Linked DNA regions of Oryctolagus cuniculus. The protein of the gene in region 1 purifies or fractionates together with the protein of each later gene. This does not show direct contact. Links are inferred from orthologs where the notes say so. Each region holds a gene or a part of one and is shown in the gene's direction. Other genes may lie near its edges.

Region 1 (4,112 bases):
CCCAGGTCCCACCTGGCTAGGGAGAAGGTGGGAAAAGCAGGTGCAGGTGAGAGGGGGTGTCCTGGGCGGGAGAAGAATTCACGATAACCTTGCGGCTCCTGGGTCTTGCCAGGAGGAAGGACAGTTAATGCCTGTGACAGGGCAGACCTGGGGCTACAGGTCAAGGGCAGGGCAGCTGTTGGGACTCAGGCCAGTGGCTGCAACCATAAGGCCTGCAGCTGCAGAAGGCATGCTGAGCTCGGGCAGGGGGCCCTTTTGCAGCCCTTGGGATAACAGTTCCTTGGGTTTGTGTTTCCACTTTTGCTTTGCCACCTGCAGGCTCCGGCTCCAGCCCCGCGCCACCCTGCGGACCTGTGTCTCCGTCCGTCTCCTTCCAGCCTCTGGCCCGTTCCACTCCCAGGGCGAGCCGCTTGCCCGGACCCGCCACGTCAGTTTCATCCGCTGGCACCTCCTCACCCCCTGGCTTGGCTGCTGGACAGGGTGCTGGTGTCCAGGCAAAGGCCACCGTATGCTCCAGCGACACAGTGCCCACCAGCTCTGTGCCCCCCAGTGCAGCATCCTCCAGGGTGCCCAGCAACGCAATGTCTGGGGACACAGTAGCCCCCACAGCGCCTGCCAGCTCCGCATTCACCAGCACGGTGCCCTCCAAGTTGCCCACCAGCGCAAAGCCCCCCAGTGCAACGTCCTCCAACGTGCTTCCCAGTGTAGCACCATCCAAACTGCCCATCAGCTCAACAGGTGCTGGCACGGTGTCACCCAAAGTGCCTGCCAGCACGGCGCCCACCAAAACACCTGCCAGCACGGCGCCCACCAAAACACCTGCCGGCATGGCGCCCACCGTCAAGAGCAGCACCAGGGCTGCGGTGAGTCTCACCCCACCTCGCAGTGATGTGGGACCCCTGCCCCAGCAGAGCTGGCCCTCCTGGCACCCTTCCCAGTCTGTCTGTGCAGTCTGTGGCCTCACCCAGACCCGAGGAGGAATAACAGTCAGGGGAGCTCCTGAGTGTGGCTGCCTCGGGCGGGGGCTCAGGCATGCTGGGTCACCTGCTGTGTTCATGTGCGTTCATTCTTTTAGGGCTCTCAGCCCCAGGTAAGCTCAGTAAGGCCCTTTCTTTCTTTCCTTTCTCTCTTAAAAGACTTATTTATTGATTTATTTGAAAGTCAGTTACAGAGAGAAAGAGAGAAAGGTCTTCCATCCGCTGGTGCACCCCTCAGATGGCCTCAGTGGCCAGAGCTGCACCAGGCCAAAGCCAGGAGCCAGGAGCTTCTTCTGGGTCTCCCACATGGTTGGCAGGGGCCCAAGCACTTGGGTCATCGTCTGCTGCTTTCCCAGGTGCATTAACGGGGAGCTGGGTTGGAAGTACAGTAGCTGGGACTCAAACCAGCACCCATATGGGATGCTGGCAGTGTAGGCACCAGCTTTACCTGCTACGCCACAGCACCAGCCCCTAGCAAGGCCATTGCACAGATGAGGAACCTGTGAGGGGCAGGGTGTGGGAGGCCCCACCAGGGAGTCCAGCCTATCACTGCATGACCAAGGCCTTATTTGCGGTCATCCTAGCCTATCCAGTCTGGAGCAGCTTCTGTGACACAGCAACCCCCCTTAGCTGCCCCCTGCAAGCCCTCACTGCTGCTGTCCCCTTGGGGGAATCAATCCACGGGACCCTTGGACACATGGCCAGGCCACACACGCTGTGGCTGCTCTGTGGTCTTCAGGCCCAGGCAGAAATGTTAATGGAGGGTGGGCCCACATCCCACCGTGGGTTCCTGGAGCAGGGGTGAGCTCACTGCAGACCCGGGAGGGCTCCCCCACTGCCCTGCACCACCGTGGATTAGATCCCCTCTGGCCCGGGAGTTGAGAGGTTAGGCTGCTGGTTAATGCCCTCACCCAGCAGGGGGCGCCCCACCCAGCTTCTCTTCCTGTCTCCCCGGTTCCTTGAATGCTCTCCTTTCTTTCCCAGGGGACCCCGGTGGCTCCAGCACCCAGAGGTGCCACAGGAGGCAGTGAGCCCTGGCCAGACGGCAGCTCTGGCAGCTTGCACTCTGGGCCGGAGGTGAGCAAGCCAGGTGTGCTGGCCTCCCGGCTGGACAGCCAGCCTTTCTCGGGCTGCTCCGCGGATCTCGCCATCAGCCCCAGCAACTCGCTGCTCCCCGAGCCCGGCCACGGCCCAGAGGAGAACGAGTACGTGTCGGTGGGCACTTTTGGGCTCCACGTGGTAGAATGTCCCAGCGCTGACCTGGAAAGCAAACCTGGGCTGAGCGCCACCCAACAGCCTCCACAGCCCACGGACGAGACTGTGCAATGGGTCTGGGCAGAGCCCTGGGCTTTGTGGTTTGGGGCAGCCGTGGCCAGCGCACTCATGGCCACACTGCTGGCTGTGCTGTACCGGCGGCGCCTGCTTCACTGATGGCCCCAGGACCACCTGCTGCACACCTGCTCAGCCCTCACCGCATGCTGCCTGCCCTTCATCCCTTCCTCAGGGCTGCAGGGCTGGGCCAAGGGGAGCTGCGGGGCTGCAGGCCTGGCAGGAGATGTGGAAACAGCATTTCCGTCCCGGATCGTGCCTTCTCTGGGTCCCTCTTCATCCTTGGCTTCTCTGGATACTCCTCTGGCCCCCCTGCTCCAGACCCGCTCACCTGCATCCCGGTTGTCACCCCATGTGCTGGGGAGGGGTGCCTCCTGCCAGGCTCATTTGCCCAAATGTGCAGATCAGGAGGTGCAGCTGGACAGCTCCTGGGGTTGGCAGTGCCCCTCGCCCTGTCCTGGTGCCCGAAGACCTGAGGGCAGGGGTGCTGCGTCGAGGGGCCTCATAAGACCTCCTGTCCCCAGTGGCCCAGCCCAGAAGCCACTGTGAGTCCTGCCCCAGCCACTTCACCCCCTTCTGGTCTCCATTCTCAGCTCCCTTCTGGGGTCAGGGAGGGGCCGCCTGGTGAGCAGAGCTCAGCTCAAGGCCTGGGCCTCAGATGCAGCCCTCCCTGGGCTGGGTGGCCTTGGCAGATGGTCCGACTCTGGTCTCACGTGGACAGCGTGAGAACCTGGCTCATGCTTTCCTGGGATTTTCTGAAGCAAAGCAGACAGGGGTTGGCCCAGAGCCAGTGACCACTGAGTGCTCCCCCCGCTCTCCTGCTCAGCTTGGTAGAGCTGAGGGCATGAAAGGCAGAGTGTGCAACGGGCCGGGGTGCAGCTCTGTAGGGCGGGCAGCCAGGCCTGCAGCTGCCCTGCCTCTCATGAGCTCCGTGACCCCGAGTGAGCTATCAGCCTCTCTGTGCCTTCATTCCCATCTGTAAAATGGGGGTTAGCACACACATATGTATTTATAGACTCCTCGTGTGTAGTGAGGATGAGATGAGTTGCTCTAAGTTGGACACCTGTTATGACCACTGCTAAGTCTGGAGGGACTGCAGCTCCTGGCCGCGCCTTTGGGGACAGAGCCAGGTCTCCCGCTTTGGCCTCCTTCCTCCTCGATTGCCTGTGCACCGGGGGACTGGGGGGCGGGAGGTGTGTCTACCTGGCCAGCCGTGCAGGATGGGGACTGGGGTGTTCTCCCGCAGGGGCCAGGTGGGTATCTGTGGTCCCAGCCTGAAGCCTGCCCACCCACTGGTGGGAAGATTGGCTATGTTTATACTAGAAATGCATTGGGGTGCATGGGTTCTCTGCAGGTGGCCGTCACTGGACAAGGGGCAGGCACAGGAGCTACCTGTGTTCCTGAGCTCTGCAGGGGACAAGAGCCAGTGTCTGCAGAGATATCGGGGTTGGGGGTCACTGTCGCTCACGGCCAGCCTGGCAGCCCGCGGGGTTTGGTGCCCTGCCCAGGCCGCCAGTTTCGCCTGCAGGGTCCTAAAGACTTCTTCCTCTGAGCTGCTGTTCAGCTCATGCTCCAGGCCCAGCAGCCTGAGCTGTGAAACCAGGGAGACCCCTTCTCTAGCGGCCTGCATTCCTGTGCATCACCCCCGCCTGCCCTCGCCCAGCCCTCCCTGCTCCCCTGTTGGGTAGGGCAGTGAGCAGTTCACGCAGACGCCAGTTTTAATCTGAAAAAGTAGGCGGCTGGAAGGTATCACTCAGCCCCGAGGACTGTGGCCAGAGGGCAGGGCCGGCAGTCAGGCGCCACGGG
Region 2 (4,556 bases), on another chromosome or scaffold:
TAGCTCTATACTGCCCCTAGAATGAGGGTCTTCCTGCACCTTCCACAAACATGTATCAATGTTTTCAACGTCACCTCAAGCAAGCTGCTTCATCCATTCAGCCTCAGCACCCCTCCCCTCACATAAACCATAATAACCCTTAATCTGCCAAATTATTATGTGACTTACATAATATAACCTAACATAGCAACATTATTCTCAATAGTCAAAAGGTAGGAGGAACCCAAGTATCCAACATCAGACAAATGGATAAATAAAATGTACATACAATGGGATGTTCAGTCTTAAAAAGGAAGGAAATCCTGACATGTGATACAACATGGATGAACCTTGAGGACGTTATATTAATGAAATAAGCCAGCTGTGAAGGTACATATTCTAAAGCTGATTCCACTTATATGAGGCACCTAGAGTAGTCAAATTCATAGAGACAGAAAGCAGATGGTGATTGCCAGGGCCTGAGAGAAAGGAAATAGTAAGTTATTGTCTGGGTACAGAATTTCAGCCTGGGATGATGAAAATGTTCTGGAGCAGATGGTGGTGATGGTGCCACAACAAGGTGAATGCACTCATTGACATTCAATGGCAAACTGAAAATGGTTAAGGTGGTAAATGTCTCATATTAAAATAACATACTGTAGAATAGTGGTTTTTTTTCTATTTAACCCTACACTAAAGAGTTAATCTCATGAGTTATACAGTAAACTGAAAGATCATCCTAAAAATTGAGGGAATAAGAGGAAGGAGGGAGAGAAGGATGAGAAGTATCACTAGGTTCCTAAATCTGTAGATGAGTTACATGAAATTTGTTTTATCTTAAATATCAAAAATAAAAATGATATAACCTGAAAATATCCTTAGCTCAATGACAAGAACCCAGCTGGTGCTCAATAAAATGTCAGCTCCCTTCCTACCACTGCCCCATGTGATATCCGCCTCAGAGTCCTGAGGAATAAATCTCCCACCCCTGGAGGTCACCAGAAACATGAGTCCGATGGGAAGCAACTGTTTCGGCTGTCAGGAAGCAGGTGGTGGAGGCCTGTGAAGGAGAGAGCCAGGCATCCTTTGCATCCAAACCTCCTGAATAGCAGCTCCCAGAGGTGCACATAGCATTCAGGTACGAGGTGATGGCCGGTGTCAAAGCATCGATTTTTTTCACTAAGATAGATGACAAGGACAGGAGGAGGAGTGTACGCCCAGATGACATGTTGCTGAGGTTTAACTGGGCTGTGACAACTCCCCCGGCTTGGCTCTGTCTTCCCTCCTCCCACTTTTCTTTCTCTGCCCTGCTCCTTCTCCCCTACACCCGGTCATCCCCTGCCTCCGCCCTGACCCCGCCCAGTCTCTGCCCTGTCCCTCCCACCACCCCTCCCTCATCCTCCTCCCTGGGGCCCCTCCCCTTTCTCCTCCCACTCTCCTCCCTTTTCCGTTCAGACTGGCCTCTTAGAGGAAATTGAAAGTGAAATAGAGAGCTGTTGAATCGCCTGATCAGGTGAGTGAACCCGGCAGGACCACAGTACCCCTTCTTGCCTGGGTGGGGGAGGGTCTCTCTCCCCTGCCTCTGATTCTCTCTTCCAGCTACTCACTAACCCTAGAGCCTTCAACCCCACTGGCCCCGACTCGTTCAACCCAAGCCCAGCCATTCTTCCAGCACTGGCCGGTCTGCCTGAGAGGAGGCTGGGCTGAGTGTGACTTACAAACCACAGGGATGGGTGGAGCTCAGGCTGCTGTAGTGCAGGTACCTGAACTGGGCCAAGGGAAAAGGTGACCCTGGGTGTAAGGGAGCTGGTGGGTGCCCAGAGGAGCCCCCTGTGGAAGAATCCTCACTCTACTAAACTGGTCCCCAATCTCCTGCTAGAAAGGGAAAGGGCAGGCTGTTTAGGGTGTTCAATTAGAAACTTATTTAGGTTCAAGATTCTTTGCCCTAGAGGAAGTGCACAGACATATTCACATCTGTAGCAGAATATTTCAAAGTTAATGGAAATGGAATTTACTTTTGGTGCAAAAAATTGGAAATCCATGCACCCATTCGTAGTATACATTTTCTGTGAACTTTTTGAAGACCCCTTATGAATTTTTTAAGATTTTATTTTATTTGAAAGGCACAGTTGCAGAGGCAGAGAGAAAGACCGCATGCTCTTCCATCTGTTGGTTCACTCCCCAAAGGCTGCAGTGGTGGAGCTGAGCTTATCAGAAGCCAGGAGCCTACTGTTTCTTCCAGGTCTCCCATATGGGTGCAGGGGCCCAATGACTTGGGCCATCTGCTTTCCCAGGCCATAGCAGAGAGCTGGATCGGAAGTGGAACTAGCACCTATATGGATTGCAGGCAGCGGCTTTACCCACTATGCTACAGTGCCACCCCCCCCATGAATTTTTATGTATTTCATATATATGGGAGTAGAACAGAGAGAGACTCTTGCCATTATATTGAACAGTAGTGAAGATATTATACAAAGCACATAGCTCCTCTCTGACACATAGAAAGCACCTGGTAAATGACTGCTCATACTATGATTACCTCCTCCAACCTAGGCTCTGAGGATGTAACCCAGATGGACATGATGAAGTAGAATTGTCAGCAGACTTATCTGAGTCTCTCCCCCGTTTTCTCCTCGTTGGAGGACTCTGTCTCCCTTCTTCCAACAGGATCACTGGGCCAGACTGTGGAGGAGAGGCTCCTGCTGTTTGGGTTGATGTTCTTGTCTTCTCTTGCTTGGCACCACCAGCTCATCTTGTTTTCCTTTGCATTATTGTGTTCCTGTCATGCAGATCTCTTCTTTTCTGTTCCTTCTTCCCCCACCAGAGCACCCCAAGGTCTGCACAGTGCTGCCCAACAAGGACTGTCACTCCCATGGCTTCTGCAACGCCCCTGGCAATGATGTGGGAGGAGGTCACATGTGCCATCTGCCTAGATCCCATGGTGGAGCCCGTGATCATTGAATGCGGTCACAGCTTCTGCCAGGAATGTATCTCTAATGTTGGGAAAGATGGGGGTGGTATCTGTCCTGTGTGCCGGAATCACTTTCTGCTCAGGAACCTCCGGCCCAATCGGCATCTAGCCAACGTGGTGGACAACCTTAAACAAAACAGCCAGGCTGCCAAGGATGAGCCACAAGGGCAGCGGTGTATGATACATGGAGAGAAACTTCACCTGTTCTGTGAGGAAGATGGGCAAATCCTCTGCTGGGTGTGTGCCCAATACCAGAAACACCGTGAGCACCACACAGTCCCTATTGACGCGGCTGCTCAAGAGTACCAGGTGAGGCCTTCGCAGAGACATGGACAGATCCAAAGGAGAGGGGCTGGGTGAGTTTTGTTACCTCTGGAGTTCAGAGGTTGGGAAAAGAGGGATACTTTCCTCCTTTCATGTCCAGTCTAAACACAACCTTCTCATTAGAGTAGTGGATACACTCTGTGCAAATGCTATGAAGTCCATGTTTCCTTGTGGACTCCTGATAAATTAGGTGTGAGAAATGCCCTCATCCTGCCATGCCAGTAGTTCTTTTTTTTTTTTTATTTTTTGACAGGCAGAGTGGACAGTGAGAGAGAGAGACAGAGAGAAAGGTCTTCCTTTGCCGTTGTTTCACCCTCCAATGGCCGCCACGGCCGGCGCGCTGCGGCCGGCGCACCGCGCTGATCCGATGGCAGGAGCCAGGAGCCAGGTGCTTTTCCTGGTCTCCTATGGGGTACAGGGCCCAAGCACCTGGGCCATCCTCCACTGCACTCCCTGGCCACAGCAGAGAGCTGGCCTGGAAGAGGGGCAACCAGGACAGAATCCGGCGCCCCGACCGGGACTAGAACCCGGTGTGCCGGCGCCGCTAGGCGGAGGATTAGCCTAGTGAGCCGCGGCGCCGGCCAGTAGTTCTTTTTTGTAAGACGCATGATTTGGGCTTTTTCCACAGTCTGCCTATCCACCAAATGCCTACCCTAATCAGACCCCAGTCCTCCCTCCTTCTCTGTGTTTAGGCTTTATTGAAGAACCAGAATGATCATCTCCCACCCCAAGCCACTCCACCCTACTTCTTGGTTTCGTTGGGATTAACCTGTTACTTTGTTTTTGGCAGGAAAAGCTCCAGGTGGCATTAAAAAAGCTAAGATGCCAGCAGGAGTTGGCAGAGAAGTTGGAAATAGATGTTGCAATGAAGAGAGCAGAGTGCAAGGCAAGAGACACTTCTTGATGGGGTGGGGGGGGGTCAGAAGGCTGGGCAAAGTCCAGGGTCCTAGTATCAAGAAAGCCTTAACCTGAGCTATGTCTGAGAATGATAATTGCCATATCACACCCTCTGGGAACCAGCCATCCTCTTAGTCTCCAAATAGAGAAGAAAAAAAAAAAAAAAAGGAGAGGCTCACAGGAGAACTCCCAATCAGGAACAAAGAGAATTATTGAACAACTGTTCTGCGAGGGCCAAGCTACATCCTAGGGCTCCCTGCTCCTCTGAGCCCAGACTCAGGGTATGTATGACAGCATCAGAACCTCAGTGTCTGGAGCAGGGGTATTCCAAGAGAGAAGCCCCACTGCTATGCCTTTAAGGAGATGAGAGGAGCTACAAGGAGCA
Region 3 (4,112 bases), on another chromosome or scaffold:
CAAATTCATGTATGATCTAATCCTTTGATTTACACTGACGAGTTGCAATTTATTATTCCATCTCCTAATTAGAAGATTTTAATGTGTTTAGCATCACAAAATTTAATTTATTAAAATGTTTCTACAGAATGAACAAAAAGAAGTCATTAGTAAATTTCGCACTGGAAAAATAAATCTGCTTATAGCTACCACAGTGGCAGAAGAAGGTCTGGATATCAAAGAATGTAATGTCATTATTCGTTACGGTCTCGTCACTAATGAAATTGCCATGGTCCAGGTACATTCAAATACCTGTTTCTGATATGTTAATTTTTATTTCTGTGTTCCTATTTTAATTGCTTTCTTCTAGGAAAACAGCACAAAACCTCTCTTGTGTTTTAAAAATATATCCTTTTTTTCCTGCTAAAAGAGCATTTTTTATATTTAATATTTTTATTTGAGAGGCAGAGATAAAGATAGATAATCAAATTGTCCACAAGGAGGTGGGGGAGAGGTGTGAAGCCAGGATCCCGGAGCCAGGAACTCAGTTCAGGTTCCCTGTGCAGGTAGCAGGGACCTAACTACTTGAACCATCACCTGCTGTCTCCCAAGATGCACTTCATTTCCCCCTCCCAAAGAAACATTTTATTTAAGGAATACAAACTTGATGCATTTTATAAGTACAACTTTAGGAATATAGTGATTCTTCCTACCATACCACCTTCCTATCTACTCTCCCACTTCTTCTCCTCCTCCCTCTCCCATCCCCAGTCCCATTCTAAAAGAGCAATCTTAAAGAACTGTGCAGTACTGCCTTTTTTGCTATTGCTGTTTGACTCATATGGTGACCAGATATCTGTTGCCCTTTTAAACAACTCTTGCTTGGTTGATATTTCTGTCTCAAGACTTTCCAAGACCATTACACTAGCCCCACATCTAGGAGTCCAAAGAGACCTCCTTATTCCTAAGATGTCAGCAAGTCCCCCACTGGACCAAAAATAGGAAGCACACATTTGTGAGATGAATGTCTTACAAAATAATGTGTCCAAGCTCTAGGGAGCGTGCCCTTCCTGTGTTCTAATTCCTTATTCTTTCAATTTTTCTACAACTTTAAAAATTTTCATGATAATCTGTTGGTGAGGATGGACTTATAAATGCAAATGTAAATAAATCAATAAGAGTAAGATGATACAGTTTCCTTTGAATGTTCAATTTATTTATGTATTAACAATATTTCCATTACCTTTTGTTGAGGATAACAGAAGTCATGCTAATTGATATAATATTCTTCCCATAGATTGAACTAAGGGATTGTTTAAAAGTTACTCATTTGAGAGGCAGAGAGGTAGAACGATAGAGACAGAGAACACCTGTCTAACTGATTTACTTCCCAAATTTAATCCCACAAATGCTAGAGCTGGGCCAAGAAAAGCCAGGAGCTGAGAACTCCATCCAGGTCTCCCTTGTAGAAAGCAGGGGCACAACTATGTGAGCCATCGCCTGCAGCTTCTCAGGGTGCACATTAGCAGGAAACTTGAATCCAGAGCAGAGCCAGGACTTGAACCCAGGCACACCTGTACGTGATGCTAGCATTCCAACCCATACCAAGTGTTATTTTTTAATACCAAGTTGCATCCTTGAATGTAAGGTAAATCATAGAAGACTAACAGATATGGAAGTAATTTTATTTCCAGAGTTGATTTGTGAGTAGTTTTTTTTTTTTTTTCCCTCAGAATGTAGTTTTCCTTGATGATAATATTATAGTTAATAGCTAGGCTCCTGGGCCAGAGCACAAAGACTTCTTTTATTTGTAATGTACCTTTACATCTTTGTGGAGATGTCTATAGGAATTTGTCATGAAGTGGAGCTTATTTTCATGAGAAAATATGTTCAAATTCCAATGTGGAATGCCAGGAACAGACCTCTCTCAGCGTCCTGATGTCATGTTAGAAATGCTCCCTTTTCACCATGGATCCTTCTTGCCAGACAGGGGAATCCCAGTTCAAGTCACTGATCACAGTTCCCATGTTTTGAGAGAGGAGCTATGAGAACAGAAAAGCTGGACAGGAGGGCATCTGAAGGCTGGTATAGGGGCCCAACCATCATCACTCCAGAACACTGCTTCTGGGTTAAAGCACATTTTAAGATTCAAAGGCTTGACCTACCAGGAAGGGATAATAACTATACTAAGACTAGTGAGATCACTTGAAGGCTGGAATGCTGAGCAATGAATATCATTCTCAGCATAAAACCAGTAGAGTTTGTACAACACATAACCTTTCATTTACTTGATTTGTTTATTTTCTCAGGCCCGTGGTCGAGCCAGAGCTGATGAGAGCACCTACATCCTGGTTGGCTGCAGTGGCTCAGGAGTTGTTGAACGTGAGACAGTGAATGATTTTCGAGAGAAGATGATGTATACAGCTATACATCGTGTTCAAAATATGAAACCAGAGGAGTATGAGCATAAGGTATTGTTTTTGGATACCTCTGGATTTAGTTTTCATTTAAAAAAAAATGGATGTATGTGGTTGCCATTGATATCCCTGTGGCTTAGTCTCCAGACAGAAATTGTGCTGAATTATAAGTTCCTGTTTGATGCGTTGTCCGTAGCTCAGATTCACAAACAAAAGTTACCAAGATCCATGGTGGGCAGGAAGCTGTCAGGGAGCTCATTCCAGTCAAACCAACAATGAACTTTGATGATATAAATTTAGGCTGCCTTTAATCCAGAAAACTAGCACAACTCACCCATTCAACCCAATCTGGTCATTTGAGTTTGATCCAAACCTTTTGTATAAGCACACATTTTTATCCCAGCAATATTTATACAGTGCCTACTATGTGTCAGGCAATGTTTTAGGAACAACAAACATGGTGGCAAACCACACAGAGAAGAACGCTGCTGCATGAAGCTTGCATTCTAGTATGAGCTTGGCGAGATTTGACAAGGAAAAACAATGGACAAAAATTTAAACACTAGATATACATCATGTAGAGAAAAATGCTAAGGAATTATATTAAGAGAATATGAAATCAGTCACTACCTGAGTATTTCGGATCGAGTGGTTGAAGAAGGTAACATTGTGGGAGTGACACTGAAGCTGAATCTAAATAATAAGAAAATATGTAACATGTCTTCTAGCTGCATCTCAGTTTACTAACACAGAGTTATTGGAGTCGTGTGAAGGAATGTGGTGAAGGAAGAATGTATCTCTACAATATTTCAGGAAATCCCCCATACCACTGAATTAAAAAACTGTAACTACTATAATAGCAAACAATCCATTTAGAAGAAAATTCACACCCTTGCATATGGGTGTGAATGTTAGTTTCTTAACATTGGAATTGGCTCTACCCTAAATAGAGTTTCACAAAAGGGATGCTTTCAAATTGGTGTGCAAAGCTGTAACCAACTCCAAGGTTTCCTGGCCAGGTTTCTACACAAACTTGTATTTTAAAACCCTTTTAAATAGAAGGCAAACCAAACATTTTGGAGTATCAAATCAAACTTTTGTCACCAAATGATGCCACTAGAAAGTTACTGCCTCACGTTTACTTTCCTAAGAAAATGAACCAGGCAGCTATTTACGAAGGGTGATGTTTTAAAACTATTCTTGAGATACAACCTAAGACAATCTCTGGAGTTAATGGGTCAAACTTTTCAGTTACTTTAGAATAAGACACAGTTCCTTTGAGGACTTCTGAGCAGATTGTGTTTTGGGGTCTTCTTTGGAGACGAGACCTGTCCTCCCAACACTCTACTTCAAGTAGATGGAATTAGCACAGGAATGGCAATGAGGGGAGGTGCATGCCACCACTAGTCTGTCCAAAGTCCCTAGTAAACACTGTCACCAGTTCACAGCTACTCAGAGAACATCTCCTTGCTTCTGATTTCAGAATCTTTCTCAAAACATCATTCAGGCTATCACTAATAAGTGGCAAGAGTTGACACATAAGGTAAAATATGTTTTCTATGTCATATGCAGAATTTATACATAACAATAGTCTTCTTAAATTCCACTCAGGCTTCAAGAGGCAAGTTGAGGATGGTAAACATTTTCCCTGGCATTGACCCAGCAACTTTTGCCACATTATTACGTTTATTTAGTTATGCTTTTTCATAACTAAGA
Region 4 (4,112 bases), on another chromosome or scaffold:
GGCATCAGAGCAGGTTGAGCTCTGGGTAGAGAAGGGGTAGGGCTGAATGGGTGGGTTAAAGGGGTCCAGGTTCAAGGTTACATCAGACCCGCCCCCCAGGCTCCACCCTCATCCAGCTGCCCTCCCTGCCCCCTGAGTTCATGCACGCCGTCGCCCACCAGATCACTCATCAGGCCATGGTGGCAGCTGTTGCCTCCGCGGCAGCAGGTAATGACCTGGAAGGGGAGGCCTGGGAGGTGGGGCATAGTCCATGGTGGCGGGTGCTGTCAGCTAGTGGCCAAGGGCCCAGCCCTCAGCTCTCTCCGGTCTCTCTCTTCTGCCCCCCACAGGACAGCAGGTCCCAGGCTTCCCAACAGCTCCAACCCGGGTGGTGATTGCCCGGCCAACTCCTCCACAGGCTCGGCCTTCCCATCCTGGGGGGCCTCCAGTCTCCGGGGCTCTGGTGAGCAAGGGTAGGGGAGTTGTTCCAGTGGGGAAAAGTTAGGGGAAAGAACCCCAAACTGGTATGTGGGAAAGGTAGGGATAAAAATCTCCCCACTTCTCTCCCCAGCAGGGTGCTGGACTGGGTACCAACGCCTCATTGGCCCAGATGGTGAGCGGCCTTGTGGGGCAGCTTCTCATGCAGCCTGTGCTTGTGGGTGAGTCCTCGCTCTTCCACACCCCACACTTCAGAGATCGCCATGATTCCAAAGCCCGACACTGTCCGTGTGAACTGCTGTTTTCCATTTCTTCTCATGTTCTCTTGGTTCTCACTGTCCTGTTAACACCTAATGAGGGTGCTGTGATGTCTGAATTTTCTTCAGATTTCGTTTTGCCTTTGATTCCTTACAGCTCAGGGGACCCCAGGAATGGCTCCACCTCCAGCTCCTGCCACTGCTTCAGCCAGTGCTGGCACCACCAACACAGCTACCACAGCTGGCCCTGCCCCCGGGGGGCCTGCCCAGCCTCCACCCCCTCAGCCTCCTGCAGCTGATCTGCAGTTCTCTCAGCTTCTGGGGAATTTGCTGGGGCCTGCAGGGCCAGGATCTGGAGGGCCTGGCGTGGCTTCTCCCACCATCACCGTGGCAATGCCCGGCGTCCCTGCCTTTCTCCAGGGCATGAGTGACTTCTTGCAGGTGAGTGGCTGGCTTGCCTTTCTCCTCACCCGTCCCGTGCCCCAGCCTAGCCAGGCAGTGGGGCTGTGTTGCCATTAGGTAGCTGTTGGGCCATTGCCTGCAATTTTGTGGCCAGAGAAGGGAGCCGGGACTTTATTGACTGAACTGCTCCCATTTTGGAGATGAGGGAAATAAGGCTTTAGAGAAGAGAGAGAGACGCTGTAGTGGCTAGTGTCCTGCTCTCTGGTCTAAACCATACAGTGAGAGAGGAGTTGCTTAGGCCAGCTCTGCTGTGGACTCCCTTGCCACGAGTGTTCTTTCCTAAGGAGTAAGGTTTAGAATACGGCCCCCTGTCTCCCCAGACCGTGTCGGTGTCTGTCCTTACTCTCAGGTCTCACTTCATCATCTTTATTCTCTCTTTCCCAGGCAACACAGGCGGCCCCTCCACCCCCTCCACCACCTCCACCCCCACCCCCTGCCCCAGAGCAGCAGAGCACGGCCCCACCAGGGTCCCCTTCTGGTGGCACAGGGAGTCCTGGAGGCCTGAGTCCTGAGAGCCTTTCCCCGGAGTTCTTCACCTCCGTGGTACAAGGCGTGCTGAGCTCTCTGCTCGGCTCTTTGGGAGCTCGCGCTGGCAGCAGTGAAAGTATTGCCGCCTTCATCCAGCGCCTCAGTGGCTCCAGCAACATCTTTGAGCCTGGGGCTGATGGAGCCCTCGGTGAGCAACGACGGGAGCCTTGGTCTTCTCTAGGAGGGGATAGCCAGGGAAGGGACAGCCGGGGGTAGGTAGATGGCTTTTGTTTAGGGAGGTTGCCAAGATGGGATGAGGCCGATGGGCTGGCTGGGGGTAAAGGCCTTTGCTAACTTTCGCCCCTGTCCGCAGGATTCTTTGGGGCTCTCCTCTCTCTTCTGTGCCAGAATTTCTCCATGGTGGACGTGGTAATGCTTCTCCATGGGCATTTCCAGCCACTGCAGCGGCTCCAGCCCCAGCTGCGATCCTTCTTCCACCAGCACTACCTGGGTGGCCAGGAGCCCACACCTGGTAACATCCGGGTAAATGAAGGCCCGGAGCCTTAGAAGCCTCCCACTTCCCCCTTCAGTACCTTGTTTCTGACCCTGTTCATGTATCAGCTTACGCCGTTGACTGCGCCAGCCCTAGACATGGACCTGTGGAGGGGGGAGGGGTAGAGAAGGAAGTCTCCTGAGACTGAGGCTTGGGCCTGACCTCTGCTGTTCTCCCCGTAGATGGCGACACACACATTGATCACAGGGCTAGAGGAATACGTGCGGGAGAGTTTTGTGAGTGACCCTTCTGTATTGCCTTCCTCTCCTTGGGTCTGGTCCAGACAGCTGATGTCCGTAGTGCCTTCTCCACTTCCGATCTTTCAGGGTTCCTGATCTGGGGTCTTTGTCTTGTCCCGCAGTCTTTGGTGCAGGTTCAGCCTGGTGTGGACATCATCCGGACAAACCTGGAATTTCTTCAAGAGCAATTTAATAGCATTGCTGCTCATGTGCTGCACTGCACAGGTCAGGGCCTGGCCAGGCAGGGGCTGGCTAGGTGTGGGTGCATGGTATGTAGCGGGTGTGCAGAGCTGCCAGGTGCCAGCATTCTCTCCTTATATCTTGCCTGCAGACAGTGGATTTGGGGCCCGGCTGCTGGAGTTGTGTAACCAAGGCCTGTTTGAGTGCCTGGCCCTGAACCTGCACTGCTTGGGGGGACAGCAGATGGAGCTGGCTGCTGTCATCAATGGCCGAATTGTAAGCACCATCCCACCCCAGCTCCCCAGCCATTTGTTTCTTGAGGTCTCCTTGCTCCTCATTTTTCTTCTCCCAAGTACTATCCTGTACCCTAGATCTGATGTATTTTAAAAGCCGGCTGAGGGTTTTGTCTTCCCAGTCTGTTTTCTGCCCCTCAGCGCCGCATGTCACGTGGAGTGAATCCGTCACTGGTGAGCTGGCTGACGACCATGATGGGCCTGCGGCTTCAGGTGGTGCTGGAGCACATGCCCGTGGGCCCCGATGCCATCCTCAGATACGTCCGCAGGGTTGGTGATCCCCCTCAGGTAAGGGACACGGCGGGCTCTGGGACCAGGGCGCCTGAGGGGGCCGGCGGGGTCTAAGAGGGCCTGTCGGTGTTCTCCAACCTCACAGCCACTGCCTGAGGAGCCCATGGAAGTTCAAGGAGCAGAAAGAACGTCCCCAGAGCCTCAGGTAACAGGGAGGGGTGGAGAGGCCAGATGATGGGAACTGGGGGGCTGAGAGGGCAGGGCTGGGTCTCAGTTCTGAAACCTGCCTCCTCCCACCGTCTGACTGCCAGCGGGAGAATGCCTCCCCTGCTCCTGGAACTACAGCAGAAGAGGCCATGTCCCGAGGTCCGCCCCCTGCCCCTGAGGGGGGCTCCCAGGATGAACAGGATGGAGCCTCAGCCGAGACAGAACCCTGGGCCGCTGCTGTGCCCCCAGTAAGTGCTGAGAGGTGATCCAGGGAGCTGAGGCCACTGGGAGTTGTGGGAGTTACTACTTTTGGATGTTTCCTTTCCCAGGAATGGGTTCCTATCATCCAGCAGGACATTCAGAGCCAGCGGAAGGTGAAGCCGCAGCCCCCCCTGAGCGACGCCTACCTCAGTGGTATGCCTGCCAAGAGACGCAAGGTCGGTTTACCTCTTCCCTGAGGATCTTTGTCCAAGTTCCCCTCTCATGTTTAAAATCAAACTAGAGTTGGAAGGGGCTCTTCTAGTTCGGGAAACCTTTGGGACTCATTTTCTTGCTCATAGTTGTTGCATAAAACCACACAGGACTTGGCCTTAGTTTGCTGGTAGTCTTGTCTTGGTCTCTAATTGTACTGTGTGACTAGTGCCCACTTTTCTTTAAGATGGCTTCCTTTTGCGGCCTAACTAGTTCTAAACTCCAGATGGCTTGACCCATTCTGCCCCTTTTGTTTTGAAGAGCAAGTTCAGCACATTCAAACCCTTTAACCAGAGCCCAACATAATTGGGCATTTGTGTTGTCCAGACCGCAT
Region 5 (4,112 bases), on another chromosome or scaffold:
GCATCTTTTAGATAATTTTTCTTTATGCATTTTCATCTACTTGAAAGGCAGAGATCGTGGGAGAGAGATCTTCCATCTGTTGGTTCACTCTCCAAATGCCTGCAACAGGAGCCAAAGCCAGGAGCCTGGAACTCCTGGTCTCCTGTGTGGGTTGCAGGGACTCAATCCACTACCTCCAGGAAGCATTAACAGGAAGCTGGATGCAGCAACCCAAGCTGCAGCTTCACCCACTGCATGGCTCCCTCCCCATGGGACATGGGTATCTTAACCACTGAGCTAAATGGCTGCTCCTGCTCTCCCTGTTCAGTTGTCTTCCAATCGCAGTTTCCACAGGCACAAAACAATGCCCCCCATCCCTGCCAGATCTCTTCATCGGACCCATTGACTCATGATTGGCAGATAGATGAGATGAGTAAGAAACAACCCCCCGAAAGAGTAAAGCAGTCAGCAAATGTTTGGGGATGCTGGTTTCTCACAGAGGTTAGCTGGGATGTGGGATTTCACACACACTCCAGCCTCTGGTGATCTGCTTGGGGCTCTGTGCCAGGCTCCAGCAGTAAGATCAGGACTGCTGGGCCTACGTAGTGTAGGGCAGAGATGTGGTCTCTGATCACAGAGGCGGGAGTCCAAGACCTAGGGCCATCCGTGTGAGGGCTTCTGAGGGGCAGGCTGTGCAGCTGGCCGCACCGGGTAAGACAGCCCTAGGCCCAGAGTCTCAGGGGAGAGGGACCCGAGCTGCCCTGAGACCTGAGGGCAGTGAGGGGCAGCCCAGGAAGGCGAGAGCTTGGGAGGGTGGGCAGTGCTTTGGGACCTGGGCACCTGGGAACGAGCCTTCCGAGAGAGATCGGGGGACGTGCACCCCTCGCTGGTTTTCAACGCTGTGGATGCTGAGGGGTGCCGGGTGTGGGAAAGCTCAGTCAGGTCGGTCCGTCCCTGCCCCACTGTGGTGAGACGCGAAGGTTCTGGAACCCGCCATCCTAGGCTCGGGGAGGAGCGCCGGGCTCTGCTGCCTGGGTGTTGTGGCTGCCCGCGGTCTGCACTGGGCGCCCAGCGGTAGAAGGCGCCAGTGTGTCAATCTTCACACGAGGCTGGGACAGGACCAAGAGGGAACTGGGTCTTTCTGCCGGCAGTGGTGAGTTCCCGCTCTTTCAGGCTGCCCGGATGCCCTCCGGCCCACCGCGGCCGGGAAGGACCGGGTCCTGCCATGGTGAACGGAGTAGCGTTCAGGGACAGGGATGGGAAGCAGGCCCATTTCCGAGACGGCCAGGAATTCAGACCTGCTGGAGACAGAGCCGACCATGGGGCTGCTCGCTGCCTTGCGCCTGCGCCCAGCCTGAGTGAAGCGTCCGCGTGGTGGTTCCTGGCAGGGGAGGGTGCCGTTCCCACGTGGCGGCCTCCAGCCACGTCCTCACAAAGTGAAGGGCGGGGCATCTCTGGGCTTCCTCTTGCAAAGGCCCTGATCCTGCTCACGAGGGCTCCACCCTCAGCCTCGTCACCCCCAGGAGCCCAGCCCCCAACCACAGCACACAGCACTGTGCTGGGTGAAAGTTTCAACCTAGGACCTCTGGAGACCCCACATTCAGACCAGAGCCCTGGGGAAGGAGAGGTGGGCAGACAGGAAAGGAGGCGGCCCTGGGTCTGTGGGGGAGCAGCCAGGAGCCTGAGCAAGAACTCCCACCCAGAGAAGGCTGGTGGCATCCCCGGAGCAGAAACTCAGCACTGGGTTCTGGTGACAGCAGCCACTCTCGGCCCCTGGACCTCGCTTAGTGGTCCCAGAACCTTCAGGGGGCCTGGTCAGCACAGCAGAATCAACACCCAGTCCTAGATATGGAATCAGACATGCGTGTGAACGAGAGCTGAGGGCGAGTCCAAGTGTCACTGCACAGAGAGCGACCTGGAGTTGGAAAGTCATTGGCAGAAGCCGGCCCTGCTGCAGATTCCAGCCTTGTGCCTGTGACAGCACCTGTGTTGCGGGTGACAGCACCTGCGATGCGGCTGTCAGCCCCGTGGGCTCACTCTCTCTCATTCACAGGAGGACCTGACTCCCTACGTCTCCCATAGTGTCTGGGCTGTGGTCAGGACAGCTGGAGAAAGGGAGCAGAAGGCCCTCTTGATCAGCCAAGCCTCAGGCTGCACTTCCGTCCATCATGAGGTGTCCGCCTGGTCTTCTCATGTCCTCAGCCCCTTCTCCCTCCAGGAATCGCCTTTGGTTCATGACCCCTTTCTTAACCCTAGGAAGTATCCCAGCCCCTGCGCCAGTTTCTATTGTGGAGCCTGATTTCCTTTGCTCTCCTTCCTTCGACCGCTAGATTGGTGAACTCCTGTCTCACGTCCAGCTTTTGCCGGGGCCTCTTCTCAGTTCTAAGTACCAATCCAAGCCTGACAGAACTGGACCTGAGTGACAACAGCCTGGGAGACCCTGGGATGAGGGTCCTGTGTGAAGCGCTCCAGCATCCCGGCTGCAACATTCGCAGACTCTGGTAAGCCCATGGGTGTGCAGTGCTGACAGAGGGGAGACTGGAGAAGGCTCTTAGGGACTGCATCAGGGCGCAGGAACTTCCCACGCTGTCATGGAAACAAAATGCCCCAGGGGTGGTGCTTGGACATTGGACAGCAGAAGCTTATTTCCTCACAGCTCTGGGAGCGGCAAGTCCACGGCCCGTAGGGTTGGTGGCCTCTGAGGTTCGCTCGTGGGCTCCTTGATGCTGTCTTCCCCTGTGTCCTCAGGGGTCATCCCTGTGCATCTGCGTCATGAACTCTTCCTGCATTCCTGTGAATGGGGCCCACACTGAGGACCTTGCTTTGGCTTAACTTCCTCCTTGGAGACCCTGTTTCCAAACCCAGCCATGCTCTGAAGTCAGGGGGGCAAGGGCCTCAGAACAGGAGCAGGGGGAGGCAGAGCAGGTCAGAGGCCAAGTGCTTGGGAGCGTTGGCAGGGGAGAAGGAAGGGCAGCGGGGAGGAGAGCCAGGCCCCGCAGGTTCCCTTTTCTCTGGCCTCCCTCAGAGCCCCAGACTGGAAAGCTTCGCCACACCACAAGGGGACAGGAACTAGAACACACCAAAATGTGATTTTCTCTTTCCTTTAAAAAAAGATTCATTATTTATCTGGAAGCCATGTGCCTCTGTGATACTCTCCATCACCCCCACAAGAGTCCTCCGCAGGTCCCCGGAGGGCAAGGCACAGCAGGAAGTCCAGTGACACTGTGGGGTTTGTGGGACAGAGGAGGCCTCCTTGTCCATTTGCTTGTAGTTGGCCTGGAGGTGGGGTGGGAAGGAAGGAGTGCAGCAAGTGCAGGCCCCGTGGACGCTGGCGTGGGAGGGGCTGTGGTGTCATTCTCGCCCCATGGGGCGCACACATACTGGGGTGTGTGTGGTCACAACACTTTCCCATTGCTACAGCAATGACTGAGGCTGAGCACTTAGGAAGGAAAGGAACTCACTTAGCTCACAGTTTCACTAGTGTGAAATCCAGACAGCACGGCCCTGGCCCTGGGAGAAACACAGTGAGACAGAGAGGGGAGATCGCAGAGGGGGAGTTGGGAATCTGAGTTAGGAGTCCAGTGCACAGACTGAAGTGGCTTGGTCTGTCAGAAGGGCTCACTGTCCTGGGAACTAAGTGGGTTCCACAAGAGCTACCTTAGTCCCTTCTGAGGGCCACTCCACGGTGACCTCACCTTCCCCTGTAGACTCTACTCTTAAAGGTGCCTCCACTTCTTAAGGGCACCAGGATTTCCACATATGAACCTTGGGAAAAACAAACCGAGGCCTCTGACAAGTCCCTCATCACCAGCGACGGCTCCTTAAGTTTCTGCTGCAGGGCACTTTAAGTGAGGTGGAGCACAGTGCGATGAGGGCAAGAAGTAGCTGGGCACAACCCCACCAGGGGCATGGTGCGGGCCTGGGCCTGGGTAGCTCCGGGGTGGGTCGTGGTGTACCTGGTGCTCTTTGCTGCCAGGCCATCACGCAGGGGTGCTCTCCATGCTCATGATCCCAGGCTGGGAGCTGCTGAACTGTGCTCGTGAGCTCGCTGGTCAGGTGATGCGCCCTTGAGAGAGCAGGGTGTGCCACCCTATGTGGGTGGCAGGGACCCAAACGCTGCCTGGTACTAACGC
Region 6 (4,112 bases), on another chromosome or scaffold:
AAATGTGGCTGAGATCCGGAGATGTCATTTCTTCCTTCTCTTTGTAGGCGATTGTACCTCCTCCCTGGTCCGCCGGAGCTGGCCCCTTAAAGGGGAGCACCCCCTTGCGCCCCCTAGGTGAGGCCTGGTTCTCATACCTTAGGATGCTTCTGGTCACAGCAGAGGATGCTGGGAAGGGTCAGGCCTTGACACTAACTTGATCCCCTCAGGGAGGGGTGGGGAGGATACACAGTAGCTCCCAGCCAGAGAGGAAGTTGGAGTCTATGTCCCAGTGGTCGGGGTGGGGGGACACCTGTGGGAAGTGGGCAGTCTGGCAGCGGCCGGCCTGAGTTCCAGGCAGGCAGCAGTGGGCTGATGGGCTAGGGGCAAGGCCTCAGGGTCTGGGACGGCTCCGAGAGTCAGACCAGGCCTTGCCTAGGCTGTCCAGTGGCAGGCCTGCACCTCAGGAAGCTGCAAATCAGAGCCCATGCAGGGGCTGAGCTGTTCACACCTTACCTTGTCCTCGCTCCTCACTCCCCAGGGCCTTTGCACGCCACCGTGGGAGCTCAGCTGACAGTGCTCCCCCACCAGGGAGGCACGGACAGCTGTTCAGGAGCGTCTCAGCAGCTGGTAAAGGGACTGGCTGGGTTCCTGGGGGTCAGGGGAATGGGGAGGAAGGGGCCTGGAAGGAGAAGCGGGATGAGGGAGACATAGAGGGTCCACTGCCATCGCCCGCCTGTGTCCCTCCCTCTCTGCACTTTGTCTTCCATCTGTCTGGGCAGCCTTCCTTCAACACCCAGGCCAGGCACACCCGGTAGGTACAGAGCCCCTAGAGACACACACTGTCCTCTCTTCAACAAGCTGGGGCCCAGAAGCCAGGTGGAAACCACACACAGATAGTCACAAAGCCAGCCAGCCAGCCCAGGCTCAGCATTGTGCACCCAGTGGCTGCCCGCTTCCTGCCATGGGGACCCCAAGCTTTCTGGACAGGCTGTCTTTCCTGGGCTCCAGCCTGCCCTGGGCTCCAGCCTGTCCGACGCTACCCACACGCCGCCCATGCTGCGCTCTGGCATCTCCAGGCCCTTTTTCCTGACCTGTGTTCCTGGCCTCCCCTCTCAGAGGCCATCCAGCGGCACCGCCGGAACCTGGCTGAGTGGTTCAGCCGGCTGCCCAGGGAGGAACGTCAGTTTGGGCCAACCTTTGCGCTGGACACAGTTCACGTTGACCCTGTGATCCGTGAGAGCACCCCCGATGAGCTCCTGCGTCCACCTGCCGAGCTGGCCGTGGAGCAGCAGCCGCTGCTACCGGGGCCCCCGCCGCTCGCCCTGTCTCAGCTCTTTGAGCCAGACGCCTGCGGGCGCCGGGTACAGACTGTGGTGCTCTATGGCACGGTGGGCACAGGCAAGAGCACGCTGGTGCGCAAGATGGTTCTGGATTGGTGTTACGGGCGGCTGCCAGCCTTCGAGCTGCTCATCCCCTTCTCCTGTGAGGACCTGTCGTCCCTGGGCCCCGCCCCAGCCTCCTTGTGCCAACTGGTGGCCCAGCGCTACGCGCCCCTGAAGGAGATTCTGCCCCTGATGGCTGCAGCCGGGTCTCGCCTGCTGTTTGTGCTCCATGGCCTGGAGCGGCTCAACCTCGACTTCCGGCTGGCGGGCACGGGGCTTTGTAGTGACCCCCAGGAGCCGGGGGCACCGGCTGCTGTCATCGTCAACCTGCTACGCAAATACATGCTCCCCGAGGTGGGCGGCCCCTGCCCCACCCCTGCTGCCCTTGCACTTGCCCTGGGGGAGGGGGTTGGGGTCCTGGGCCTGCATGTTTGATGGGTAGAGAGTTGGGCCTTGTGTTAGTTCAAATCCTGACCTGTTCACTTCCCAGCTGTGGCCCCAAGTGATCCTGTCCCCTCCAGGCTACGGTTCCCTTTTCTCCTTGAGTTGTCCTGATGAAATGAGATACTGCAGATCAGAGCCGGGGCTCAGCAAGTGTTAGTTATGAGTGTCGTCATCCGCCTCCTCATCCTGGGAGACTGTCTTTGGGCGGCGGGGGGGTGGGGGGGAGACGGAGGCAGTCAGGACGGTAGGGTCTTTCTTAGCCCTCAGCCGTGTCCTTCCCAGGCGAGCATCCTGGTGACCACACGGCCCTCTGCCGTCGGCCGCATCCCCAGCAAGTACGTGGGCCGCTACGGAGAGATCTGCGGCTTCTCTGATACCAACCTGCAGAAGCTCTACTTCCAGCTCCGCCTCAACCAGCCGGACTGTGGGCACGGCGCGGGGGGAGCCGGTGTCTCAGCCACGCCCACTCAGCGCGACAACCTGGTGCAGATGCTCTCGCGGAACCTGGAGGGCCACCACCAGATCGCCGCCGCCTGCTTCCTGCCCTCCTATTGCTGGCTCGTCTGTGCCACCTTACACTTCCTGCATGCGCCTACGCCTCCCGGCCAGACCCTCACCAGCATCTACACCAGCTTCTTGCGCCTCAACTTCAGTGGGGAGACGCTGGACAGCACCGACCCCTCCAATCTGTCCCTGATGGCCTATGCAGCGCGAACCATGGGCAAGCTGGCCTATGAGGGCGTGTCCTCTCGCAAGACCTACTTCTCGGAGGAGGACGTCCGGGGCTGCCTGGAGGCCGGCATCAGGACGGAAGAGGAGTTCCAGCTGCTCCACGTCTTCCGCCGGGATGCCCTGAGGTTCTTCCTGGCCCCGTGTGTGGAGCCGGGGCACCTGGGCTCGTTCGTGTTCACTGTGCCCGCCATGCAAGAATACCTGGCCGCCCTCTACATCGTGCTGGGGCTGCGCAAGACCACCCTGCAGCGGGTGGGCAAGGAAGTGGCCGAGCTCGTGGGCCGTGTCGGGGAGGACGTCAGCCTGGTGCTGGGCATTGTGACCAAGCTGCTGCCGCTGCGGATTCTGCCCGTGCTCTTCAACTTGCTCAAGGTAGTCCCTAGCCCCGGGGTTCCCCCCGCCCCGCCCCGGTCCCTTCCCTCCCCAGGACCCCGGGCTGCTGCCCACCTGCCCCCTACCAGAGCAAACAGCTCTTTCTGGAGGTGAATCTTCCCCTTGGCTCTGGTTTCAGCTCTGGGCCATTTGGCTGTTTTTTTTTTTTTTTTTTAAAGATTTTATTTATTTATTTGACAGGTAGAGTTACATACAGAGAGAGGGAGTGGCAGAGTAAGGTCTTCCACCTGTGGCTTTACTCCCTAAATGGCCACAACAGCCAGAGCTGCGCTGATCTGAAGCCAGGAGCCAGGAGCTTCCTCCAGGTCTCCCACGTGGGTGCAGGTGCCCAAGGACTTGGGCCATCTTCTCTGCTTTCCCAGGCCACAGCAGAGAGCTGGATCGGAAGTGGAGCAGCCGGGACTCGAACTGCTGGCACTGAAGGTGTTGGCTTAGCCTACTATGCCATAGTGCCGGCCCCTGGGCCATTTGGCTTTTAGTAGGAATGGGGCATAAGGAATGGGGAGAGAGAAACCACAAGGCTGGAGAAGCTTTGGAGGCTAGGAGGGAAGCTGAGGGCACAGGCACCTTAGTGACAATCAGGCAGATCCCTAAGCACGGTGTCCTTTGTGCGTCTCTCCGTCCAGTCTTTGTGGCTGGGAGCAGGGGTCACCACGGTCCAGGGCCTGTCATCTGCTCCACAGGTCCAGAAACTCGATTGTATCTGTCCCTACACAGGCGATTAGACTGCGCGTGATGACTCATCCTGATGAAATCACCAGGGACAGGCTTATAAAGCAGAGGTCATTTGATTAATTTACCCAGGGAGGATGGATGATGGCACTGGAATTGGCTTAGGACAGTCCATCCTGGACGCAGAGCCGCTCCAGAAACCAAATTACAGGCGTGGGGACTGGGCGGGGAGCTGGGTGGATGTGGCAGCTCCTTGGGGACGGAGGAGTCCTGTCTGCTGATGTCTTCCAGGTGCTTCATCAGAGCCCATCCTTTTGTTTCTCAAAGCAGCCCTGGGCATGAGATGCTGTTATGATGCCCTTTATAGATGAGGCGACAGAGACTTAGAAAGGCAGAGGTATGGGGCCGGTGCTGTGGCGCAGCGGGTTAACACCCTGGCCTGAAGCACTGGCATCCTATATAGATGCTGGTTCTAGTCCCAGCTGTTCCTCTTCTGATCCAGTTCTC
Region 7 (4,637 bases), on another chromosome or scaffold:
GGTGCTGTTCCCCACGCACCAGCTCTGGTTTCTAAGAAAACACAGGCGGCTCAGCCTGTCTTCTTCCTCAACTGTGTCAGGCCAGCTCCCACTTTGAAGATTCCTCAGCGCATATCTGACTCCAGGGGCTACACTTGTTAGACTGTTAGTGGACTCAGAGCCCCTCTTGCTAGGTCTGTGAGGACTGCTGTAGGCAGTGACCACAAGCTTGGTGGCTTAAAGCACCCGAAATGTAATCTCGTGGTTCTGGAGGACAGTAGTTGGAAAGCAAAAAGTCGACAGGACTGCAGCCCCAGAGGCTGAGAGGAGAGGGTTCTCTCTCGTCTCTTCCAGCTTCTGGTGGCTCTGATTTTTCCTTGGCATGTGGCCACATCTCTTTATTATCTGCTTCTTTTTTTTTTTGACAGGCAGAGTGCACAGTGAGAGAGAGAGAGAGAGAGAGAAAGGTCTTCCTTTGCCGTTGGTTCACCCTCCAATGGCCGCTGCGGCCGGCGCACTGCGGCCGGTGCACCGCGCTGATCCGATGGCAGGAGCCAGGTACTTCTCCTGGTCTCCCATGGGGTGCAGGGCCCAAGGACTTGGGCCATCCTCCACTGCACTCCCTGGCCACTATCTGCTTCATTTTTTTTAAAAAAAGATTTATTTATTTGAAAGGCAGATAGAGAGGGTAGGATGGAGAGAGAGAGATGTTCTGTCTGCCGTTTCACTCCCCAGATGGCTGCAATGGCCAGGGCCAGGCCAGGCTGAAACCAGGAGCCAGGAACTTCATTTGGGTCTCGCACTTGGGTACAGGGACCCAAGCACTTGAGCCATCTTCCGCTGCTTTCCTGGGTGCATTAGCAGGGAGCTGGATTGGAAGTGGAGTAATCAGGCCTTGAACCAGTGCCTATATGGGATGGTGGCTTAACCCGTTACACCACAATGCTGGCCCCTTCTGACTGTTTTCACCTGGCTTTCTTCCTTGCATGTTTTCCTCTGTCTTTTGTCTTTTATAAAGACACTTGTTAATGGATTTAAGGCCCACCTGAATAACCCAGCAAGCTCTCATTTTGATCAAGGCCCTTAGTTTACATCTGCAAAGATACTTTTCCCAAATAAAGTTGCATTTATAGGTTTTGGGGCTACCATGCAGCCTACAGTACTTGGGAGGGAACATCCCCTCCGGCTTGAGGGTCTGTGTAAGGGTAGGGGTCCCAGCGCACACCGATGTCTCCTGCTACAATAATCCTTAGTTTTCTGCCTCTGGCAAAGTTCCTGCCTTAGGTGTGCATCCTGAAGATGGGTGCTGGTACAGAGTCCGTAACCAGTGCTAAGCCATGGCCTGTGCAAGTCTCACAGAGGTGGTTCAGCATCTTCCTTCGGAATGAGGGTGTTTGTGACCTCTTAGATCGAAACCCCATTTCGGCCAGAGGGATCAGCATTTTGCCTTCATGGCCCCAGAGCTCCTGCACAGAGTGTACTTATCCTGCTGGGGATGAGAATTCCCCTGGGTCTCATGGGATGCCTTTGCTGCCTTTCTCGAAGAGCGTGCCTTGGATGAGCAGGCAGCCCTGGAAGAACCAGCTGTGTGAGATGGTGCAGCCCAGCGGCGGCCCGGCCGGGGACCAGGACGTGCTGCCTGAAGAGTCTTCTCTGGGGAAGCCGGCCATGCTGCATCTGCCCGCAGAGCAGGGTGCTCCTGACGCTCTCCAGCGCTGTCTGGAGGAGAACCAAGAGCTCCGAGGTGAGGTGGACAGCAAGTAGGTGGGGCACAAAGTCAGGGGATCTGGTCCTGCTGAAGGCAAGGCTTCTCTCGTGCACCTCTGCGTCTGCTGGGTGTGGGGCGAGGGCACCCCGAGAGCCAGCTTGTGCTTCCAGCGTAGCTACCTTGCCTCCTGGTTCCAGGCGGGGTTCCCTGGGAGCAGACCGAGGTGCATGGCAGGGTCAGTACTGAGGCAGAGAAGGGAAGGAGATGGGAGAAAGCAGGGGTGGGCAGCAGAAGTGGGCTGCCTTGGCTGACCCCCAGGGACTCTGGGGCTGGACTGACACTTCCAGGCTGGACCAGCGTGGCCCAGCCTCAGAGGACCTCTTCCCTGGGAGGGGACTCAGACTTTCCTGGGGTGGGTTGCGGTCTTGTTTGAGAGGGGGGTGCTGTGGCCTGTCCTGGGAAGTGGGTGTGGCCCACCCTGAGAGGAGGTGGTGTTGACCAGCATGAGAGGCATGACCCCTGCTGCAGTGGGGTAGCTGATGCCTCAGTTGTGTCTTTAGTTGGCCATTCATGTCCTAGTTGGCCAGTGGCTCTTGCCACAGTTGTAGTCCCATTCCCCACCTCCTTAAGTGAGTGTTGGATGTGATGTAGGGTCTTTTGCTGATGAGTCACGTGCTCTGTGGCCTCAGGGAGTGGTGCTGGCAGATGCCATGCACGCAGGGAGCAGACCTGGGTCTGGAATGTGTGTCCTCTTCCTAGGAGACAGCTAGCCACCAAGAGACTGCTTGGTTTCCTTGAAGGTTGCATTGGAGAGGCCCCGCCTTTTTTTTTTTTTTTTAGATTTATTTATCTGAAAGGCAGAATTACAGAGAGGCAGAGGCATACAGAGAAAGAGAGGCCTTCCATCCGCTTGTTCACTCTGCAGATGGCCTCAACGGCCAGAGCTGTGCTGATCCCAAGCTGGGAGCCAGGAGCTTCTTCTGGGTCTCCTATGCGGGTGCAGGGGCCTGAGGACTTGGGCCATCTTCTGCTTTCCCAGGCCATAGCAGAGAGCTAGATCGGAAGTGGAGCAGTGGGTCTAGAACCAGCGCCCATATGGGATGGTGGCACTGCAGACGGCGGCTTTACCCACTATGCCACGGCGCTGGCCCCGAGGCCCTGTCTTGAGCACAGAGCAGCAGTGTCTTCTACCTCAGTTCTGTTGACCTCTGGGGCCAGCTAATTCTCTGTGGTGAGGGCTGTCCTAGCCATTGTGGCATGGTGAGCAGTATCCCTGGCTTCTACTCACAGGTGCCAATAGTGCCCCTCCAGTCCCCTGGGAGTCACAGTTGTCCTTGAGTGGGACCCACTGTGCTGGGGTCTTCAGAACAAGTCATGCACATAGAGCTGGCAGCCAGATCGGGGCCTCTGCTCATCCCTAGGGGCCCAGAGCATTTCAGAGCAGTTGTGCAGGGCTCATGCCATGGCCTGTGGTGGCTCGGCTCTTCTGCCTCCTAGACTGTGTGTTCAGCACAACAGCTTTGCTAAGTCTCTGGCAGCAAGTGGAGACTTGAGGCTATATTGCCTCCAACTGGGAAGCTGGATAAAGCTTGGGGGGCAGCATGTGAGACCCCCGGGGCCCTGAAGGTGATTGTCCCCCAAGGTGCTCATGATTGTGTCTATAGGTAGGCTGTGAAACCAAACAAGGGAGGGTACAGTGTTTGCTCAGAACGTTTATGAAGAAACTTCCCGGAAGAGCTTGCCTGTATTCACGTGACATGTCTCAGAGACAGAAAGCAGTTGAGTGGACGCCAGGAGTGCGGGCAGGGGGCCTACGGGAGAGAATGCTGCTGGGTTTGGGGTTTCTTTCTGGGGTGCTGGGAATGTTCTGGAATTAGGTAGTGCTGATGGTTGCATGATCTTACAGCTTCATTAGCTAAAAACCACTGGATGACTATACTTTAAAATAGTTAAAATGGTGAATTTGATGTTACATGAATTTTTACGTCACTAAAAAGAAATTTAAAAGACATTGCACACAAGTTGAGACTCGGGTTGAGTGGGCAGGCAGCAGTGATGGCCAAGGGTTTGGAACATTCAGTGATGTGAAACTACTGTCTACCTCTGTTGGATACGGTTCTGTGGTTGCCCTAGAACCTTGCACGTCACTGATCGCTTTTGTCAGATGCTTCTTCCTCTACCTGGGGTGGTCGCTGGGTATGTGGCTTTCCTCTCCTCTGGCCTCTGCCAGCCACCTGCCGCTGGCACTGATATATGCTCATGGCTTAGTCTGGCGAGAAGAAGACTGCTCTTATTTATTTATTTATTTATTTATTTATTTATTGACAGGCAGAGTGGATAGTGAGAGAGAGAGAGACAGAGAGAAAGGTCTTCCTTTTGCCGTTGGTTCACCCTCCAATGGCCGCCACGGCCGGTGCGCTGCGGCCGGCGCACCGCGCTGATCCGATGGCAGGAGCCAGGAGCCAGGTGCTTTTCCTGGTCTCCCCATGGGGTGCAGGGCCCAAGCACCTGGGCCATCCTCCACTGCACTCCCTGGCCACAGCAGAGGGCTGGCCTGGAAGAGGGGCAACTGGGACAGAATCCGGCGCCCCGACCGGGACTAGAACCCGGTGTGCCGGCGCCGCTAGGCGGAGGATTAGCCTAGTGAGCCGCGGCGCCGGCCAAAGACTGCTCTTTTTTGAGTTTCTGCACAAACACTGTGTCTGCTGCTGCTGCTTAGAGGGCAGGTGTTCTTGTCCCTGTCGAATACGCAGAGGCAGGCACTGAAGCTTAGACAGGCACCTACCTTGCCCCATCAAAGCCAGCAAGGCCACAGTGAAGTCTGCTTTCGTGGCCATCCCGAGTATGCAGCTGTGTTAGGACCCCTTGATCCTGAAGACACCAGAGATGTAGGCGGGGGAGGACCGAACTGAGGAGCTCAGGGCAGGCGTGTTTTGGACTGAACCAGAAG

Evidence for each region.
Region 2: the proteins of MAVS (region 1) and TRIM21 purify together in Homo sapiens (affinity purification with western blotting; 3 studies listed by BioGRID). This does not show direct contact. The link is inferred for Oryctolagus cuniculus from reciprocal best matches to the Homo sapiens genes MAVS and TRIM21.
Region 3: the proteins of MAVS (region 1) and IFIH1 purify together in Homo sapiens (affinity purification with western blotting; 12 studies listed by BioGRID and IntAct, with this or other methods). This does not show direct contact. The link is inferred for Oryctolagus cuniculus from reciprocal best matches to the Homo sapiens genes MAVS and IFIH1.
Region 4: the proteins of MAVS (region 1) and BAG6 purify together in Homo sapiens (affinity purification with western blotting; 3 studies listed by BioGRID and IntAct, with this or other methods). This does not show direct contact. The link is inferred for Oryctolagus cuniculus from reciprocal best matches to the Homo sapiens genes MAVS and BAG6.
Region 5: the proteins of MAVS (region 1) and NLRP3 purify together in Homo sapiens (affinity purification with western blotting; 4 studies listed by BioGRID and IntAct, with this or other methods). This does not show direct contact. The link is inferred for Oryctolagus cuniculus from reciprocal best matches to the Homo sapiens genes MAVS and NLRP3.
Region 6: the proteins of MAVS (region 1) and NLRX1 purify together in Homo sapiens (affinity purification with western blotting; 4 studies listed by BioGRID and IntAct, with this or other methods). This does not show direct contact. The link is inferred for Oryctolagus cuniculus from reciprocal best matches to the Homo sapiens genes MAVS and NLRX1.
Region 7: the proteins of MAVS (region 1) and IKBKG purify together in Homo sapiens (affinity purification with western blotting; 4 studies listed by BioGRID and IntAct, with this or other methods). This does not show direct contact. The link is inferred for Oryctolagus cuniculus from reciprocal best matches to the Homo sapiens genes MAVS and IKBKG.

Annotation. Positions count from the first base shown.
Region 1 is NC_091442.1:29,188,195-29,192,306, forward strand, and holds part of MAVS (mitochondrial antiviral-signaling protein), read left to right. Parts: intron 1-318; coding exon 319-863; intron 864-1,961; coding exon 1,962-2,408; 3' UTR 2,409-4,112.
Region 2 is NC_091432.1:62,639,393-62,643,948, forward strand, and holds the start of TRIM21 (E3 ubiquitin-protein ligase TRIM21), read left to right. Parts: upstream 1-1,333; 5' UTR 1,334-1,492; intron 1,493-2,803; 5' UTR 2,804-2,851; coding exon 2,852-3,259; intron 3,260-4,064; coding exon 4,065-4,160; intron 4,161-4,556. UniProt on the Homo sapiens protein: E3 ubiquitin-protein ligase whose activity is dependent on E2 enzymes, UBE2D1, UBE2D2, UBE2E1 and UBE2E2.
Region 3 is NC_091434.1:79,413,775-79,417,886, forward strand, and holds part of IFIH1 (interferon-induced helicase C domain-containing protein 1), read left to right. Parts: intron 1-127; coding exon 128-277; intron 278-2,288; coding exon 2,289-2,450; intron 2,451-4,112.
Region 4 is NC_091436.1:138,969,888-138,973,999, forward strand, and holds part of BAG6 (large proline-rich protein BAG6), read left to right. Parts: intron 1-99; coding exon 100-207; intron 208-329; coding exon 330-442; intron 443-550; coding exon 551-638; intron 639-831; coding exon 832-1,115; intron 1,116-1,520; coding exon 1,521-1,812; intron 1,813-1,977; coding exon 1,978-2,147; intron 2,148-2,339; coding exon 2,340-2,393; intron 2,394-2,518; coding exon 2,519-2,621; intron 2,622-2,727; coding exon 2,728-2,852; intron 2,853-3,010; coding exon 3,011-3,157; intron 3,158-3,245; coding exon 3,246-3,305; intron 3,306-3,411; coding exon 3,412-3,555; intron 3,556-3,636; coding exon 3,637-3,744; intron 3,745-4,112. UniProt on the Homo sapiens protein: ATP-independent molecular chaperone preventing the aggregation of misfolded and hydrophobic patches-containing proteins.
Region 5 is NC_091437.1:1,750,941-1,755,052, forward strand, and holds part of NLRP3 (NACHT, LRR and PYD domains-containing protein 3), read left to right. Parts: intron 1-2,309; coding exon 2,310-2,480; intron 2,481-4,112. UniProt on the Homo sapiens protein: Sensor component of the NLRP3 inflammasome, which mediates inflammasome activation in response to defects in membrane integrity, leading to secretion of inflammatory cytokines IL1B and IL18 and pyroptosis.
Region 6 is NC_091432.1:111,131,199-111,135,310, reverse strand, and holds part of NLRX1 (NLR family member X1), read left to right. Parts: intron 1-47; coding exon 48-117; intron 118-520; coding exon 521-609; intron 610-1,098; coding exon 1,099-1,718; intron 1,719-2,090; coding exon 2,091-2,912; intron 2,913-4,112.
Region 7 is NC_091453.1:132,763,620-132,768,256, forward strand, and holds the start of IKBKG (NF-kappa-B essential modulator), read left to right. Parts: upstream 1-1,536; coding exon 1,537-1,723; intron 1,724-4,637. UniProt on the Homo sapiens protein: Regulatory subunit of the IKK core complex which phosphorylates inhibitors of NF-kappa-B thus leading to the dissociation of the inhibitor/NF-kappa-B complex and ultimately the degradation of the inhibitor.